Arabidopsis thaliana: one gene and its partners. The protein of the gene in region 1 interacts with the protein of each later gene in a biochemical or structural test. Each region holds a gene or a part of one and is shown in the gene's direction. Other genes may lie near its edges. The genes, in order: LOB, BEE1, AT2G42300 and BEE2.

Evidence for each region.
Region 2: the proteins of LOB (region 1) and BEE1 form a complex in vitro, tested with the Arabidopsis thaliana proteins (one study listed by BioGRID).
Region 3: the proteins of LOB (region 1) and AT2G42300 form a complex in vitro, tested with the Arabidopsis thaliana proteins (one study listed by BioGRID).
Region 4: the proteins of LOB (region 1) and BEE2 form a complex in vitro, tested with the Arabidopsis thaliana proteins (one study listed by BioGRID).

What each region holds. Positions count from the first base shown.
Region 1 is NC_003076.8:25,308,042-25,312,582, reverse strand, and holds LOB (Lateral organ boundaries (LOB) domain family protein), read left to right. Parts: upstream 1-1,563; 5' UTR 1,564-1,908; intron 1,909-2,653; exon of another isoform or gene 2,654-2,783; intron 2,784-3,280; 5' UTR 3,281-3,299; coding exon 3,300-3,860; 3' UTR 3,861-4,037; downstream 4,038-4,541. UniProt on the Arabidopsis thaliana protein: Not known; ectopic expression of LOB leads to alterations in the size and shape of leaves and floral organs and causes male and female sterility.
Region 2 is NC_003070.9:6,329,396-6,334,408, forward strand, and holds BEE1 (BR enhanced expression 1), read left to right. Parts: upstream 1-2,002; 5' UTR 2,003-2,068; coding exon 2,069-2,425; intron 2,426-2,528; coding exon 2,529-2,654; intron 2,655-2,755; coding exon 2,756-2,821; intron 2,822-3,251; coding exon 3,252-3,320; intron 3,321-3,604; coding exon 3,605-3,682; coding exon of another isoform or gene 3,683-3,724; exon of another isoform or gene 3,725-4,094; coding exon 4,095-4,181; 3' UTR 4,182-4,461; downstream 4,462-5,013. Other genes in the region: AT1G18390 (Serine/Threonine kinase family catalytic domain protein), read left to right, coding at 25-540. UniProt on the Arabidopsis thaliana protein: Positive regulator of brassinosteroid signaling.
Region 3 is NC_003071.7:17,618,955-17,625,375, forward strand, and holds AT2G42300 (basic helix-loop-helix (bHLH) DNA-binding superfamily protein), read left to right. Parts: upstream 1-1,940; 5' UTR 1,941-2,587; coding exon 2,588-3,076; intron 3,077-3,159; coding exon 3,160-3,273; intron 3,274-3,354; coding exon 3,355-3,420; coding exon of another isoform or gene 3,421-3,432; exon of another isoform or gene 3,433-4,486; coding exon 4,487-4,555; intron 4,556-4,679; coding exon 4,680-4,751; coding exon of another isoform or gene 4,752-4,766; exon of another isoform or gene 4,767-5,507; coding exon 5,508-5,681; 3' UTR 5,682-5,898; downstream 5,899-6,421. Other genes in the region: AT2G42290 (Leucine-rich repeat protein kinase family protein), read right to left, coding at 1-518; AT2G42310 (ESSS subunit of NADH:ubiquinone oxidoreductase (complex I) protein), read left to right, coding at 6,297-6,421.
Region 4 is NC_003075.7:17,241,895-17,245,803, forward strand, and holds BEE2 (BR enhanced expression 2), read left to right. Parts: upstream 1-1,688; 5' UTR 1,689-1,804; coding exon 1,805-2,095; intron 2,096-2,180; coding exon 2,181-2,360; intron 2,361-2,452; coding exon 2,453-2,659; intron 2,660-2,743; coding exon 2,744-2,884; intron 2,885-2,975; coding exon 2,976-3,071; 3' UTR 3,072-3,402; downstream 3,403-3,909. Other genes in the region: AT4G36550 (ARM repeat superfamily protein), read right to left, coding at 3,506-3,909. UniProt on the Arabidopsis thaliana protein: Positive regulator of brassinosteroid signaling.

The sequences.
Region 1 (4,541 bases):
ATACCCCCACCTCTCTATTTGTATCATTTTATATGCAACCTCTCTATATATATTGAAGGGCTATATATATAGATCAATACCCATTCTAATCGATTACTTTAATCTTTTGATGGTAAACTTTGTTATGGTTTCTTCTGTAATATGTAGGCTTAGTGTTGAATTTACAACGTCGGACGGAACGAATAAACCATATCATAGCTCTCCAAACAACTTTCAACTTATTCGATATAGTTACTTATTATCTATCATATCAGAATGCGCAATCAATAACATTGAAAACTTTGAATAATCAGTCAATTTTTGTATCATAACGAGAGAGAAGCTCTACTTTCCAAGTACGAGACTAGTTTCCTCTTTTAGAAAAGAATAGGACCTCTATTTTCGAACCCTAATCCCGATATATATTAGTCACAAAATTAATATCTTAAGAAAAATATGAAGACATTAGTTTGGTGATAAAGCCTATAGATGCTTCACTTTAGTAAATTACTAAGTTCCCACCACTAACCACCATCATAACTTAGACCAACAAATAATGATCTTGAAAATATTCAAAAGGTTAATTTACCACAATTTTCTGATAGTAATAAGAAAATTATCTCATTTACTTTTCCATTAGGTAACTATTTATGATCTACATTTGCATTTGAATTTTGCCAGTCTAATATATCTTCAATATTGAACCATTTGAATTCTACATTAGACCAAGAATTGGTGCGAAATAAAAAGAAGAAGACATTATGAAAAATGTCTCAATCGGTTGTCACTTCCAATAATATATAATCTAACACAAGTAACTGTTGTATGATACTAACCCTAGCTAGCTATAGCTTCAAAAATCTTCGGACCCCCTCATAGTTTATTTTCCATTACAAAAGTTCTGATTTTACAAAACCTATTTAAACTTGACTTGATCGTTCACATGAAATCGCTTGACTTTTACTGATTTCCTGTCTCTACGTAGCTACTTTGAGGTCTCAAGAGTTTATTCTTGTTCCTATTAACTGTTGTTCGATTAAATTAAATTGAAGAATTATTTTGCCACACCTGAAAAAAAGGTTCAATTCATTGCTGTTAATTTTAGGATGTCAAGCTTTTTTCACAACGGTATGAACAAGAGAACAAGTTACCAGTCACCAAATTTATACCGCTATATATTAATTGTATAGTTTGTTCTGCCAAAAACAGTCATATAATATGTTCTTTAGTTCTCATTGCAAATCAGGGTTTGTTATGATATTCAATTAAAGTCGAGATTGATATAGAGAGATGCTTAGGGTTTTCTTGAGGTTCCAAATTTTGGCCATCAGCGTGAGACAGGTATATATAGAGAGATCATATATAGTGATATTTATATACACACAATGATAATTGATTAGTTAGCTTAGGGTTGATTTCGGGACTGTTAGGGAATATTGTTAACATTAAATGTATGAAGAAAAATTCACAAAAGCTAAGGTTTTAAAAAATAATCTAATGGGAGACAAAAGTAAGCACAGTGAAATGATATTACTAATATTCTTGAGATGAAATGTCATAGTCATTCTTTAAGGGACATACCCTCTCCTCCTCTTCCTGTTTATTAATTGTTCATTTGTTATTATTACACTTTGTCTTTTGCTCTTTCTCCTTCCTCTCCACTAAAACATTTCTCTATTTTTTCCTTTTTATTTGTTTGTTTGGTTTCTTTAAATTCTCAGCTTCTATACAAACCTTTCTCAATTCTTCTTGACATTAGGGTTTCCTCTTTCTTTGAGAGGGCTAAAACCCTAATATATCCCTCTCATTGACTAAAGAGTTAAGCCTACTCTATCTACTTTGGAAGCGAAATTCAAAGGGTAAGGTAAAAGCCCTTGAAAGAGGAAGAAAGATACAAGATCCTCAAAGAACCTAAAGATCTAAAGGCAGGTATATGTATATACTTTGATGTATGTATCTTAATAAATCCCTGGATTTATGCATAGCTCCCGATTATCAAAACAAGTCTTCTAATCTATGTTTAATTTTATTTTCTATGCTCCATGTTCTATGTTCTATGTTGCTCATACACATATTCACTTTGATCCTTCTGTCACTTTCCTTTTGAATTTCTACTATAATAAAGACTTAACAAGGTTATCTAATTAATTATAGCAAATGAGACAAGGATATAAGTAAACACGTGTAATTAAACCTTCGTGATCTCTTTGAGTTGACATAATTAAGGTCAGATCTAAAGTTTACAAACAAATCCAAATTGGTATAGACTTGAGGTCAGTAGAATTGCTTCATCTCGGAGAAAAAGAGAGAGTTTATCTTACTTAGTAAAGACAATTTTTGAAATTTCTTTGACCAAGTTTAGTTTTGAGGCATACAAATAGAAATTATAAAATCCTCACTGAGTTTCCCTTTTAAGTTATAGTTTCTTTTAACAAAGCTAGGGTTGAAGAGAGAGTGAGAGGAAGATGAAGAAGATGGTAAAACACATCAGGACACAATTGAATTACAAAGAAAAACTGTTTGATATATTTTGGTAAAATATGAAGTAGATATGCATTGAACAAAAATATGTAGTATTTATATGTAAGATTGATATAGATACAGAGGGATACACAAACTCATCTGACATTTTAAAAATAAGATTGCTTTTTTTTTTTGGTTTTGTTTTGTTCAGGGAATAACTGATCGACATGTATGACATCATATATTAGCTAGAATTAAAGGCGAGTGTGGGTATGTGTATACTCTGTTAAGGAAGATTCGGAGAAGTTAGTTAAATATATTCGTAGAGATAAATTAAGAAGGTAATAGGGGATTAAATATGTGAAGTGATATTTGTCTACTTGAAAACTAGTGTAGACTAAATTAATTGAAAAAAAAAACGTTATGTGAAACTAAAGTTATAGTTCCAGCACGTCCGGATTATCTCTGTGTTCCTAACGTGTTCAATTAATATTCAATCTAAAGACATTTAGGTTTTGTAAATAGTATGTTTTTCCTTTCATTAGATTTGATGGTGGACATTTTACATATACATCAAGAAAAACGTGGAAAGGGAAAATCAATGGAAAGATAATTAGGAATTCAATGAAAGAAGGAAATAAAAAAATTCAATATAAAATTTGAAAAAGTTGCAATATAGAAATTATAGAAAAATGACTTCTAAACGAAACGTAGGAGTTTTATCATTTACTGGCAAATTTAAATTATATATATGTAGATCGTATGTATAAACATACTATATATGTGTGTGTTTAACTTTTCTTTCTAATTGTATTTTGTTCTTAAAACACAATATTAGGTTGTAAGAAGAAAAACAAATGGCGTCGTCATCAAACTCATACAACTCACCATGCGCGGCGTGCAAGTTTCTTCGCCGGAAATGCATGCCGGGATGCATATTCGCGCCATATTTTCCACCGGAGGAGCCACACAAATTCGCCAACGTCCACAAAATCTTTGGAGCAAGCAACGTCACGAAGCTCCTCAACGAGCTCCTCCCTCACCAACGTGAAGACGCAGTCAACTCCTTAGCCTATGAGGCCGAGGCACGTGTCCGTGACCCCGTCTATGGCTGCGTCGGAGCCATCTCTTATCTCCAGAGACAAGTCCATAGGCTTCAGAAGGAGCTCGACGCAGCTAATGCTGACTTGGCACATTATGGTTTGTCCACATCAGCCGCCGGAGCACCTGGCAACGTCGTGGACTTGGTTTTTCAGCCTCAGCCGCTTCCGTCGCAGCAACTGCCTCCCTTGAACCCGGTTTATAGGCTTTCGGGGGCAAGTCCGGTGATGAATCAGATGCCACGTGGCACCGGAGGGTCGTATGGGACTTTTCTTCCTTGGAACAATGGTCATGATCAGCAAGGAGGTAACATGTGAGAGTTTATAAATTATGAGTATTCATCCTCTCATCTCTCTCTTTCTATATTTATGTGTGTGTGGTACGAATACGATATTATTTGTTTAATGCATGGACTGTGTGTGGGATATTATTTCCTAGCGAATTATAAATGCATGGACTGTTCTTATTTATTTATGATGATTGATGAGGTATATATATTTTGGTTTTTGATTATTATTAGTGTATGTTTTTCAATAACTAAGCTATGATACTTGAACAAATATATTTTACTAGATAATTATTTTCTTGATTGTTTTTGTAATGTTAGGTGCCAAACATGATATAGTTTTATCCGTTTCATTTTTAGTTATTTTTAATGATTTCAATAATTAGAATGAATATCAATAACAAAAATATCAGTTTTAGTATAAATTTTATTTATTTATTTAATGCTATATCATTAAATATTTAAAATCTTATTTACAATATACGTTGAAATATAAAATGGTATTCTGTGGTAAGCAAGATATATTCATTTAATTACGAAACGGAAAAAGGTATGTTTCTATAGTGGCATTGGTGAATTTTATTATTTTAAAAATACCTATGATTAGATATATAATATGGTGATGATTGTTATTGCCTTGGGTTCAATACCTAAACTAGGATTGTAGTTTGCGTGGATGCATGTTTCAGAGAACTTAAGGGTGCTAATAATT
Region 2 (5,013 bases), on another chromosome or scaffold:
TTTTTACTGTTTTCGACATTTTAGGTTGCGGATTTTGGACTCTCTAGACTGTTTCCTATGGATAAAACGCACGTATCTACCGCTCCACAAGGAACTCCGGGATATGTCGACCCGGATTACCACTTATGCTATCAACTCTCAAACAAAAGCGACGTGTACAGCTTTGCGGTAGTGTTAATGGAGCTTATCTCTTCACTTCCAGCAGTCGACATCACAAGACCGCGCCAAGAGATCAACCTCTCGAACATGGCAGTCGTTAAAATCCAGAACCACGAGCTCCGCGACATGGTGGATCCGTCACTTGGGTTTGACACGGATACAAGAGTGAGACAGACGGTGATCGCTGTCGCTGAGCTGGCGTTCCAATGCTTGCAGTCGGATAAAGATCTTAGGCCATGTATGTCGCACGTGCAGGATACGTTGACGAGGATACAGAACAATGGATTTGGTTCGGAAATGGATGTTGTAGATGTGAACAAGAGTGGACCGTTGGTTGCACAGTCTCCAGATAGTGTCATTGTGAAATGGGACAGTAAGTAAAATTAGTCGCACGGCCACTAACATTGTATGTGTTTATTATTTGTATGTTTAAAATTGTCAGTTAACAGTTAGAGAATGGTGTTCGTGTTCTGTATTAGATGATATTTTTGGGAATGTATATAATGATGATCTTGTTCCGATTCCACCTAGAGAGGGACCGTAACATACAAAACTTCGTGATTGGGCCTGACCGGACTAAATCAGCAATTTTGTATTGCTATTTGCTGCCAACTGAAACTATTTTTTTATTAGTGGTTAATTTTATTTTTTTACGGAAAAGGTAAAAATATTTGAGACATCAAAATAATGATGGTAATTAAGTAACGCCAGCTCAGCGACGGCGATGACTATCCACCAATTTAACGTCAGAAGAATATATATATGTATATTGAGCTTATCTTCTGTTTCCAATGTAAGTGGAAAGTCCACTGCTGCAATCACAATGTAAGACCTGCATCTATGAAGTTTTAATGAAAGACACTTTCAGAGAAAAAAAAAAAAAACTTCTGTTTCCAAAATTTCCTAATTAAAGCACACCAATTTGGGCATGGATGCTTTACTACTTCTATTAATGAACAAGTTAAAGAGTAAGTTGTCTTGAATGAATGAAATTGCATGTGAATCAAATCCCTCCACCATACATAATAGATAATCTATAGTAATGGCCCAACTAAACATTGACATTTGTTGCAACCTAACTCTTTCCTAAAAGGAAGAAAAAAAAAAAAAAAAAAAAACTCTTTCCTAAAACTCAATGTGTTTGATCATCACAAGGACAAACAAAGGAAATCTCTAGTATGCCGATTAAAGTGAAAATTTGTCTTCACCAATATAAATAATTTGGTAACTTAAACTTTAACTAAAGATTCATAAATTGGCGTCAACTTATGTAAAAGAACCTTCATATATACTTTCGTTTATCTCCCTATATTTTTATACATACACATATTTATAGTATTTTTGTCGATTAATTGGCATTGGCCATTTGGAAGTTATAATTAAGTTGGCAAATGGATGTGATCTCTTACCCTATACACCTACATAAAAAACCCTCCATGCAAAACATTAATGGATGTTTTCATTAAAACAAGTTTTGATATCAACTTAGTTTGACTAGCTACATCCATTTCAATATTTTCTTCCCAATATTAATAATAAATTTAAAGATAGACCACTAGTTCTTAACCTCACACCAAACTGACTAGAAATGTTCTTCCCCCTTGCAAACAGAGAAAGCCTAATGGAACCCACGACCAAACATTGGTCCTACTTTTCCTTGTTTGGACATATCTCCCCGACACACAAATCCCAGAACGTTCACTTGCCCACGTGGCTCTCCCTTTATTTCTCTCTTTTTCTTTCTTAATTTTCTCCACATTTCTTTTTCTAAAATCATAAATTAAATTAATAAAAAAATCCAATCGAACAATATAAAAGTCTCAAGTTTTGTATCAACCAGTCTAAAGAAGTTGTCAGAAAAAAAAAAAAAAAAAAGTGTCAAGAAGATCATATCTCAATTCATTATATTATGGCAAATTTCGAGAATCTTTCTTCTGATTTTCAGACAATAGCCATGGATATATATTCTTCCATAACTCAAGCTGCAGATCTAAACAACAACAACAGTAACCTTCATTTTCAAACATTTCATCCTTCCTCTACTTCTCTCGAATCGCTCTTCCTTCATCATCATCAACAACAATTACTTCACTTTCCCGGAAACTCTCCAGACAGTAGTAACAATTTCTCTTCAACTTCAAGTTTCCTCCATAGTGATCACAACATCGTCGATGAGACCAAGAAGAGAAAAGCTTTGTTACCTACTTTGTCTTCATCAGAGACTAGCGGCGTCTCCGATAATACGAATGTTATTGCCACTGAAACAGTAATTGATCTCGAAACCCTAGCTAATTATCTTATCATTTTCATAACTTATCATTAAAAAGTTCGTTTAAAATAATTACTTTTATTGTCTAAAAAATATCTAGGGTTCTTTGAGAAGAGGTAAGAGGTTGAAGAAGAAGAAGGAAGAAGAAGACGAGAAAGAGAGAGAAGTTGTTCATGTGAGAGCCAGAAGAGGCCAAGCCACTGATAGCCACAGCTTAGCAGAACGGGTAAAATTGCTTAAATTGTCTATATAAATTCATTTTTTTTATAAACGTGGTGTATTCATTTAAATTTATATACATGTCTACACTCTATATCAAAATTTCAGGTTCGGCGAGGGAAAATAAACGAGAGATTAAGATGCTTGCAAGATATGGTGCCCGGATGTTATAAGGTAATAATGCAAAGATAAATATAATAGTTTAACATTTTCAACTTTTCATTACTTCTTTTTTAATATATTTGTAATCAAAATAGAAACTAATGGCCATTAAACAATAAATAGCATATGAAAAGGTCATCATCGGCATTAATTGTCACTAATTATACTTGAATCAAATTTAAGCATTTTATGATAAAAGTGATACTTTTAGTTAAACAAGAACATATGTATCCAAAAGTATTTTTAACATGCATGAGTGTGATTTTAGCTTTTTTCTTTGATACCGCTCATAATATTTTCCGAAAATTGTTCTTCGGATTTTTTTTTGTTTTTTTTGTTTACAAAGAACTCAGAAAAAAAATTGTAGAAAAAGTGATGTGATTTTCTATTGATTTAGTGGTGCTTACTTCTTATAATGAAAGTGTATGTTTGGTGGGTGCAGGCTATGGGAATGGCTACGATGCTTGACGAGATAATTAATTATGTCCAGTCTCTACAGAATCAAGTCGAGGTAAATAATTTAAGTTGTAATCATAAACTACATATATCAATAAGACTTTGTCTTCTTGTATTTTGGAGAAAGAAAAAAAAAACTAGAAAATGGAGGTTTCATGAGATGGGAGGTTCGGTAAATACCTACTTTAGTAGTACTTTCCGAAACACGGCAAATCTTAGATATTCGAAAATTACAAAAAAAAAACGAAAATCTTACCACACACTTTAAAAAACTTCCAAAACACAAGCTTTAATTTTATAAATTACTCAATTTTGTTTCATGTTTTTTGTGGATTTCAGTTCCTCTCGATGAAACTCACTGCAGCAAGTTCGTTTTATGACTTTAACTCAGAGACAGATGCAGTTGATTCCATGCAGGTACTAGAACATTCTAATAATGTTTTTCAATTCTTAAGATAAGCATATATATAATTAATTAGTGGTAGTCTGGTAGAGATGTTGTAATGGGTCCGGTATGTTTTGATCGAGTCGGTTCTACAAAGATTTATTCAAAAATACAAGTGTTTGTAGTTTAGATTCAATCTTATTAGACTATAATATATGATCACGCGGACTATATGACCCGCAATTAAAATATGTTCGACAGGTCAAATCCAGCCTTTGCATAATTGATCTTGTATGGTTTATTGGTTTAAGTAGTCTCTTTTTTTTTGGCATTATATTTGCATGGTTTAAGTCTAACTAGTTGTTGTTATGACAATTACTTTATTTTAACGTGATAAAGTATTTCTATTAGTATTGAATAATATGAATGGAATACAATTGGCAGAGAGCAAAGGCACGTGAGACAGTGGAGATGGGGAGACAAACAAGAGATGGGAGTCCTGTCTTCCATTTATCAACATGGTCCCTTTGACTTTTGTTTTCTCTTTTCTCTTTTCCTTCTTTTTTATTGTTTTCGAAATTATTCTTCTATTTATTTGGATGCGATATGTCATATATACGACCCAACTTGGGATAATATTTGTAATCTGTATACTTGTAATTTCGACGATATAAATTTATTGGTGACTTATAATTGTCATGTAAATATCTCAGTTGTCCTCTCCCTTTTCGCTTTGCTATTTCGTTTGCTTGGCACCTTTTTCCTTTTCCTCTTATGTAATTGTCCTCTTAAGTTATGAAATGATCAGAAATAAAATTCAACAGAATTTTTTTATTTTGTTTCTGCAAATGAAGTTATAAATCATGGATGAATTAGCTCATATGTCAAAGTGTTGATGAGTGAATTGACGATGATGGGAAGAGAGAAATCAATTGTAAATTGTATATATTACCAAATCTTCAATGAAATGTGATTAGTCTTTATAACAAAAAGAAATGAGCGTTACCAGTCGGTTTAAATATTGATTTTAGTTTATTAATTTTAGGGTCGAGAGTTCTTAGTCTGATTACAGACATGCATGTGCTTTTGATGTCTAGAGTTCCACTTCACTTTCCTACGTAAAGTGGGTTAAAAACGGCTTCGGCTATAGAATTACTAAAAATGAAGATTAGTTTATAATATAAAACGATATGTTCTTGTTAAGGGATTATATTTCCATTCATATGTAATTTGCTTTTGGTTACTAAAAACATTTTCCTTTTTCAGCGAGAAAGGCATAGTTACATATACGATAAACTGGAAGAGGCAAGTTGCGCAAGGTTTGGTAACGAAGAGGAGTTATGGAACCAAAGAGACTTTGTCG
Region 3 (6,421 bases), on another chromosome or scaffold:
AAAGAGAAATTCAAGGTTCCGACGAGGCTTCCGAGTTCAGTGAGTGACTCAGGGAGTGAACCGTTGAGATGATTGGAGGAGAAATCAAGGTGGTTGAGTGACTTCATGGACTTGATTTGGGCCGGTATTGGGCCGGAGAGTGAGTTGTGAGAGAGATCGATGTACCGGAGCTTGGTTGCTTCGAAGAGACGAACCGGTATGGTTTTAGAGAAATTGTTGTGAGCTAGATCAAGCCGGTTTAGCGAGTTGAGTAAACCGAGTTCTGATGGAATGTAACCGGAGAGACTTTTTCCGAAGAGTACAAGAGTTGTGACTCGGCCGTTTGTGCAGACGATTCCGGACCAATGGCAAGGAGTCGGGTCGGATTCAGACCAGTGGGTCATTACTCGGGTCGGGTCGTTATCGACGGCGGATTTGAGAGCTAGGAGAGATAAACCGTCGGAATTGAGAGAGGAGCAAAAGCTCATGCAGAGAAAGATGGAAGAAACAACAAGTGAAAGAATCGATGGTAACTTCATTTTTTGCTTAGGATATAGGAATCTTGAAACTTTTTGGTTGTTAAAGAAGCTACAAATTACAGATGATTCATATAGTGTGAGGCAACGAGAAGTTGCAGAGGAAAAACGGTAAACAGTGAAGACGAAGGAGAAGAATAATGGGAGATTTGACCGAGGTATGATTCTTTTATGGTTTCATGTTAGCAACGTGGTGTAATGTAGTCATGATCAATTTTTTGAATTCTTGTCCATATACTATGGTTTGAAATTTTAATAATATATACACTACAGTTCTAATTAAAAATGTGATATATTGGGATTTGCGTTTTGGGTTTTTGACATTTTGTGGTTATTTTTGAAACTTTTTGAAGTTTAGTTATTGATTGATGCAGGTGGGTTGTTGTTACATTTTTAATTTGTGTGTATCCGTTGGTGATATCTAGGGTCACTGGATTTTTATAGCATTAAAACTATATATAGGTATCAAAAAAAAAAGTTACAACAAATTTGGGATACAAAAAATAAACAAAGTGTTATCTTAAATGCTATAGTCTATAGAATCTTAACTCGTATAGGACCTCTTCACTCTTGAGCCATGAAAAAACTGTACAGTCCCACTGGGTCGATAATTGTTTTACTTTTACAAGATTCAGCAGTAACTAAAAAAAGGATTAAAATATGTTTAAGAATAATTGAAAATAATCGAACTCGACCTATTGCATATGAATTTGAATTGGATAGAGGATGTCATATTTATTCAAATTAAAGGAGGGAAGAGACGGTAGAGAGTGGATTGTGTCAGAGAAAAATCATTAACCAACCGACAAAGTAACCACACAAAGATGCATTTGAAAATATGCCACTTTTGGCTCCTCTACTCCTAGTCTTAATGGGCAATTCCGAAATATACACGAAGAGTCACAAGTCCCATTGTTGTTGGGTTAGCACTTTGTCACGGCCCAAATTCAACTTATTCACAACATCAAATAAATATATGCATCATATCATCACATCCGACTTTTGTTAACAATTACTTTTTTCAGTTAAAGAACTTTCAAGAGGAAATAGTAGTACCTTAAAATCCTACAAAACCTTGTCGTGCAAGAACTGGGAGGGCTACAAATTGCGGTCAATGTACGCAAACATCTTACCGTTTTTGGTACAAACACTAGAACTCCAATGCAGTGAGTGAGATGGGCCAATTTTGGCAATCTCAATCAACGGTCCATGTGGCCCAATAAATCACTAAAAACGGCCGAATTTTTAGATCCATGTAACTTAAATAATTGGTGGGGACGGAAAGTCTTGTCGTTTTCATTTATTCGAGTGTGGCACTCTGATTCATCTCAAGCTTATTTTTTATAAAAAGAGTAATTTTAGAGGCTGAACAATAACGACCTTGAACAAAATAAAATAAAATAAGAGGGTGAACAACGACCAGTCAAAATTTGAAAATTTACTCACCAGAGTCTATAAAAATTAAAAAGGAAAGGAAAAAAAAAGAATGAATCATAGTGAAATGACCTTATTTATGGCTCCAACTATAGTGATTAGTAACCACTAAACCAGAAAAAAACAAGTGACCCATTACACAGGGATTAAAAATACTACCGAATAAAGCCCAATAGGCCCAATTCAAAAGCGTCTCTCTATCATCGTCTCTCCAAACCCCATAAATTGGATATTTCCTTTCTCTAAAAATTTGGCTTTATTAACAGACGCACTCCAAAGCTAACGTTGCTTTCTTCCCACTCCAAATGGCTCTTGTGCTCTCAGAACACACACAGATATAATAAACTCTTAACGAAGAAGAAGACTTTTTCTTTTCTTGAGCAAGCTCTGAGAAACTCACAGAGAGGGACAGAGAGAGAAATATTTCATTCGCTACTCTCTTTAATACCGCCATTGATGCAACCTCCTTCGCGTTAACTGTCAAAATACTCCCCAACTGACAAAAATTAAATTCCTTTTTTTCTCTCTCGATTTTAAAAGCTCTAAAAGGAACGAGTTGATCAAGTCGGTCGGTTCTGGTTATCACTGAATTTCATTCAACTCGGTTTATTCCGGTTTAAGTGTGATTTTCCCGGCTAATGGATCTGACCCAAGGTTTCAGAGCTAGATCCGGCGTTGTTGGGCCGGTGGCCGGACTAGAATCTCTCAATTTCAGCGACGAATTTCGGCACTTAGTGACGACGATGCCTCCGGAGACTACTGGCGGCTCCTTCACGGCTTTACTCGAGATGCCTGTGACTCAGGCCATGGAGCTTCTCCATTTCCCAGATTCATCGTCTTCTCAGGCCAGAACCGTTACCAGTGGTGATATTTCTCCTACCACTCTTCACCCTTTCGGGGCTTTGACTTTTCCTTCTAACTCGCTTCTCTTGGACCGCGCCGCTCGTTTCTCGGTGATTGCTACAGAGCAAAACGGTAATTTTTCCGGCGAGACTGCTAACTCTTTACCTTCTAATCCCGGCGCGAATCTGGACAGAGTCAAAGCCGAGCCTGCTGAGACCGATTCAATGGTGGAGAATCAGAACCAGAGCTACTCTTCTGGAAAAAGGAAAGAACGCGAGAAGAAGGTGATACCAATTGTTCACACAATCAAACTTGTTAATTAAACAAGAGAGATTAGTCCCTAATTTCTTTATTCCTTAATTTCTAGGTCAAAAGCTCGACGAAGAAGAACAAGAGCTCCGTGGAGTCAGACAAGTTGCCATATGTTCATGTCAGAGCTCGTCGTGGTCAAGCTACTGATAACCATAGCTTAGCAGAGAGAGTAATTCACAATCTCACAGACATGGTTTGTATTAATTAATTAGTGGCAATATGCTAATTAATCATTAACTCTTGATTATAGGCAAGAAGGGAGAAGATAAACGCACGAATGAAGCTGCTACAGGAACTGGTCCCAGGCTGTGATAAGGTTTGTCTTTAGATAATTGACCTTTTAATCAAAAAGCTAATCAATAATTAGATCTTCATTTGTGCTTAAAGACAGAATCTTTCTTTATTAAGACCAACCCCCAAAAAGTGATTTTTTTTCTATAATTTGATCATGTGGTTTGATAAGGGTTTAGTGCTAAATTCCTCTTATATGAAAAAGGTTTTGTGGTGTGACAAAGAACAAAACCACTAGTTTGGTAATTTCACTGCCTTGAAGATATGTAAACTTTATTTTCGTGTGGGGAAGAATATCTCACGGGTCACAACCATTTAGGTAAACTAGTAGTAGTAATACGGAAGTGATGTGACATTGCTCAATAGATTCTTGTTTCTTCTTCCCAAAGTGTATTCATTTGAGCTTGAAGCTTACTCCATAAATGCCGATAATGGATTATATGATGTGGGAATGCTAGCTGGACTGTTCCCTTAAGGTTTTGGGTAGAGGGGACAGATTTTGGTGGATAGATCAAGGTCAGACTGTGTTTTGGGGTCCATCTTTTGATAATAAGTGGCAAAAGTTGCAGGCTTTCTATGGAGGGTGAGGAGTGTAGTATCGTCTCTAATAAGTTTGGTATCTATCAAGTAGAAAGAGGGTGAGGAGTGTAGTATCGTCACTAATATTGTTATATGCTTTGAGTCCCACAATACCTAATTGGTTGGATACATGATGTGACACTCCTGCAGACAGCTAACTAATCCATAGATATCTTGGAATTTAGCTGCAATTATTGGTGGAAGGAGATGATGATAAGTGACAACTCTTTAAGAGTTTGTCAAATTTGTGGGGTTTTGGGACTTGATTGTTTGTTTCATGAAATCCTGAGAAATCCTGAATCCATGTTTGTAAACTACAGATGTTGCTCTGATTCGCTTTTCTGGCATATTATCTTGAAAAGAGTAGAGTTGTTGATTTTATAGAAGCCGTTATACATATGCAACTTAGGATTAAGGCTCATTTTCACACTGCTTCGTTAACCACATATATTTCTAAAAACTATGCCTTGTTCTTCTTTCTTTCTGACTGACCAGAAAGCTTTGGCCTGCAGATTCAGGGCACTGCATTGGTTCTGGATGAAATCATTAACCATGTGCAAACTTTACAGCGTCAAGTGGAGGTAGGACTTCTTGCACTATCTTTTGTTGTTGTTTACCTGAAGGTCCTGAACTGAAACACTAAGCTACACAATGTATGATAAAATTGGTGCCACAGTGTCACATAACCGTTTTTCTTCTTTTCAGATGCTATCTATGAGACTTGCTGCAGTAAACCCCAGAATCGACTTCAATCTAGACAGCATACTGGCTTCAGAGGTAAGTATCAACTAATCATATAGGAGAATTAAGGTTGCATGTGATCTTCTTTTACAATAAAAACTCTTAAATTCAATGTTCACTGGGAAAAACTTCCCTTTGACCATGTTACTCGTTTAAGTAACCATAGGGATTATGTTTCTTTGAGTAACCTTTTTAAGTTGTATCACAAAAAGAGAAACTTTTGGATATTTATTGATCCAACATTAATCGACCCTATTCTAGACTAGGCTTAAAGAAGAAGAACAACGTGGGGGAAATAAATACTTAGACCTTACAAAAATGCAGTACAAACAGTGAGATCAAGGACTCTAAAAAATCTTTTGAAAGGACTCATTAGTTCTCTCAATTATATCATACAGAGAGATAAAAGTGGTCAGAAACACGGACCACCTTTGTTCTATGGTCTATGATGCTGTCTTTTTTTTTTATCCTTGCACAATTATTTTTCTGTGGGTCTCAGTCTTAAGTTATTGTTGCTTCAAGTTTCACCTATCTAATCTAATAATCAACTTTTGTTTCTCTGCAAATAACTTTCTTATTAAATGACCTTCTTCTTTTACAGCTTGTACACCATTTAAGAACCAGACCCCACTCATTAAAAACCTTGTTCTTCTAGGATGAGTTACAGTAAAATAGAGCTGGCTTGTTGACTAGATTGAGAATCTAGGATGTTGGATCAATCATCTCTAAGAGAAGCTGATATGTTTTACAAATTGTGTTAATAATGATGAGGTCCAATTATCTTTTCTGCAGAACGGCTCTCTTATGGATGGTAGCTTCAATGCAGAGTCTTATCATCAGCTGCAACAATGGCCTTTCGACGGCTACCACCAGCCGGAATGGGGAAGAGAAGAAGATCATCATCAAGCCAATTTCTCAATGGGTTCAGCTACTTTACACCCAAATCAGGTGAAAATGGAGCTCTAAGTTGGAAACAGTTTGACATGCTTATGTGTATATATAAGAGTTATATATATCTACTAAAGTTTCGATTGTTGAATTAGAGGTAGAAAATGGTTATGATTGTTTCAGGTCTTTGTTCATGGCCTTTCTATATTTACTAGATTCCTCAATGTAGAATTCAGAATGTCTAAATTGCGTTTCCCTTGAGAGAAGTATATGAAGATTTGATATGTTACTGAGCAATTACGACGTCGTACACGAATACTATCATCCAATACTGCTTAACCGACTAGTGTGACCAATTCAATTTGGTCTACCTAAATTATAACCAAACTGCCAGAACCGATTTGGACTACAAAATTTCCAGTCAAACCGTAAAACAAAATGAGAACTGAGAATACCAAGTCATACCGAACATAAAAGAGAGTCAATTTCGTATATAAATCTGTTAGACCGGATAATCTAAGCTGAAACCATTATATAATTCCCAATTAAACTGACAATTTCAATAAACCAAAATTGAAATTCTCGGTTCGGTTCGAATGAAACCTTTTGTAGGTCGTGGTCGTATATAGTTGGACACTTGACAAATCTGAGCATTTCCTTTTTGCTTACAGCGGAAATATCTGAACCAACGCGATGCCGTCGACGCAGTCCTTGACCGTCGCAGCGAAGACGCTACGAAATCGGATCTTCTCTAGGTCTGGATCTACATCCGCCGGTCCGAGTCGGTGGGCGACGCCAGGTCACGAGGAGCGACCTAA
Region 4 (3,909 bases), on another chromosome or scaffold:
AGTTGTGGCGACCCCTGAGCCAGACAAGTCGAATCCGCTCGACGAAGCAGAGTGTTTCTGAAAGTTGCGGTTTTTATGGTTTAACGATTAGGCCGGTAATTTCGACTTAGCTAAACCGGCCGGTTCAGCCGTATTTGTCCCAAAGATCCTGATTTTTTACTCATCATTTTGACAAAAGCTGTCAAGTTGATATTATCAAACAGAACTATTGATTTGTACACAACAAGATATTGAAGCACTCTTTCTTAAATTTCATGTTCTCTAACTCTCTTCCTCAGATCTTGTCTCACTGTTGCATAGGTGTGACATTCTTTTGAAGTAAACAGAAATAATTGACGTGGAATGTGATTCCTGTTATCACATAGATCCATCATTAGTGAAAAGAGCAAACAACACAGTTTTGTAAGTAAGCAAATTAGAGACGTGATACACACGATCTAGGGCCTTATACTTTGATGTGACGAATACGAGTGTTCCTTCCGTTTTCGTGATTCGACAAAATGCCTAATTGCAACATGAATGCATTGACACAAACTTCTTTACAAAAGAATACATCCTGAAACCCATTGAATCAAAAACTTTCTAAAACTTTTTTGTGGAAATTGCAAAAAACAACAGATACTCTCAACGTTAAGTATTTTGGCATTTGAAGCATTTACTCTTCTCATCTCATAAGCAGCTTGTTATTGATGTTTCCCAAAGAACCAATGAAATGGAAACCTCAAAGCAACCTGTACGGTGTGTTATTGAAATCGGTCTAATTTTGGATATATTTTTTCAAGTTCTTCAAAAAAAAAAAATCGAAATAGTATTGATTCTCTTGAATTATGTCACGCATTATAGATAATGTATAGATATATAATTAATAGGGAAAAAAAGAAAGTATAGGGACCAAACACTTAGATCAAAAGCAATGGTGTCGCCTACCTTCCTATCACTTATCTTCAAACCCATTTTCTTCTTTAGGTCGCTTATTTTGTGTCCCTATCAGTTATGAATTATAATATGTGATATTATAATATGTCATATATTCATCGAGTTGCCATCTCTCTAATATATGAAATCCACTTAAATTATTGGTGTAATCTATGGATTGATGAAGGGTAGTAATCATACGTCACAAGGATCACGTATAGATTCACAACAAGACATTGAAATGATATCACTCATGATTCAAACCATTGTTTCTATTCATTTGCAAGTTAAGATTCATAATTCACATTCCCCACATTCTCCACCTTCAAGCCTAAGAAAGACCCTCTCTCTCTCTCTCTCTAACAAAACAAATTGGTACAATTAGAAGGTTGTCTTACCAAAAACTCAATGATTTGATTTTACAAAAGAGGATATTTATATGATAATACCCTCATGAACCTTAAGTTTTACAAAGTTTGATTATTGTTGCCAAACAAAAAGATCCTCTCAAAAACTTGAAAGGCCAAAAGGAAAAAAAAAAACACAGAGAAAAGACACAAAAGAGACTAACTTAAGAGACTCCTCATCTCATGTTCATAAGGACATGACCACATGGTAGGTTATGTCAATTAGACCCCACAACTTCTCATCTCACCTTCTTTGTCCCCAACCTCCTCCACTTTTATCAATTTTGTCCCTCTCTCACTAGATTTCGAATCTCATGTGTGTGGGTCAATGTTGCTTTCTATTTAAAGCTAAGAATAATTATATCTAATGGATTACTTTTCTTCCACACATATATAACTTAACTCTCTCTTTTTCTCTTTTGCTTTAACCCCCTCAAAGAAAAGATAAGAGCCTTTTAAAGTTTTTTTTTTACCTTCTCTTCATGGACTTGTCTGTACTTGATAGGCTTAAGTGGCTGCAACAGCAACAAATGGTTTCACCTGAGTTTCTTCAGATACTTGGCTCAGATGGGAGAGAAGAGCTCAAAAGAGTTGAGAGTTACTTGGGAAACAACAATGATGAGCTGCAGAGTTTCAGACATTTTCCCGAATTCGGACCGGATTATGATACTACTGATGGCTGCATTTCTAGGACAAGTAGCTTCCATATGGAGCCAGTGAAGAATAATGGACACAGCAGAGCCATTACCTTGCAGAACAAGAGAAAACCAGAGGTTTGTAGCTCAAGAAAGTATTGAGTATTAGAGTTTAGATTTTGTTTGAAACATTGTTTCTGATCGTTTTAACTATTGGTTTTAGGGTAAGACAGAAAAGAGAGAGAAGAAGAAGATCAAAGCAGAGGATGAAACAGAGCCAAGCATGAAAGGGAAATCAAACATGAGTAACACAGAGACATCTTCAGAAATTCAGAAACCAGATTACATTCATGTTAGGGCTAGACGAGGTGAAGCCACCGACAGACATAGCTTAGCAGAGAGGGTAATTAACTAAAGTGTTGTTGTTAAATAGGTTTCAGAGAAATTACTTTCATTAGAGATTTGAGTGGTTTTATATTTGTGGGATTTTGGCAGGCAAGAAGAGAAAAGATAAGCAAGAAGATGAAATGTCTACAAGATATTGTTCCTGGATGCAACAAAGTTACTGGAAAAGCTGGTATGCTTGATGAGATCATCAACTATGTCCAATCTCTGCAACAACAAGTCGAGTTCTTGTCGATGAAACTCTCTGTCATAAATCCAGAACTTGAGTGTCATATCGATGATTTATCCGCAAAACAGGTGAATAATAGTCAGTTTTCATCCCAAGAACTAACCAAGAGTTTAATTACCGCATTTATTGACTGGTTAAATATTGGAATCTAGTTTCAGGCTTACTTCACAGGTCCTCCAGAAGGTGACTCGAAGCAGTCAATCATGGCGGATTTTCGGTCTTTTCCATTACATCAGCAAGGATCTTTAGATTACTCAGTCATAAACTCAGACCACACCACATCTCTCGGCGCTGTAATAATCTTTATCTCAGACAAATCTTTCATTAGTCCCAATTTTTTGTTACTTGTCCGTGAAGTAACTTATTTCTTATTCTGTTTTGCAGAAAGATCATACATCATCAAGCTGGGAAACTCACTCACAGTGTCTTTACAACAGCTTGAGAACCGATTCTGTTTCCAATTTCTTCAGCCTCAAGTAAAAAAATTAGGGATAGCCTCATTAAAAAAATCGCGGTTTTTTGTTGTTGTCTTATCCATTTATCTATCTTATCTGAAATTTGAACCAAAAGAGACAGAGGAAACCAATCCAAAGATCTTTCTCAATCTATTATCTTCATACAAATATAGTGATTTACATATATTCCAGGGGATATGTATATGTGTAGAAGAAAGAGAAAAAACTCTTGTGGTCATAGCAATTCCTTTTTTTGTACATTGTAGAATCAAACTCTTGTGGTCGTAACAATTATTTCCTTCACAAATTACAACTACACTTGTATTAATGGAGATGCCTTTTGGCCTGGTATCAACATATACAAACCTAAGCCAACAAACAGAGAGCCAAAAAAAAAATCAAAAAAATTTCTCAAAAATTAAGTTAAATCCAGCCTAATAATGTATCTTATGCTTCTTTCTATTTTTTCTTCTTCTTGAGACTGGAGAAATTGAATCCAAAAAGACCAGATTTCTTGGGAGATGGTGTTATTTTAACAGGTTCCGGATGAGTAACTGGAGTAACAACCTGTGAAGTAGGCGAAGCAGTTGTTCTTCCTTCTGGTCTGGAGGAAACTTCTTCTTCTTCTTCTTTGTCGGAATCTACTTCTACAAGAGCTCTAAGTAATTCTGATGCACTCACCTTTACTTCCTCTGTTCCATTGTTGGATATCAAGATTAGAGATGAGTAAATATCAGTTGCTTCTCTCACGACAAGACAGCAATACTCTATCTTCTGCACACAGAGCTGAAGGAGGATGGAGATTGCGTTCTCTTGCTCCTCGGGAACATTTGACTCGAGTAATTCAGCTATGGAAGCTAAAC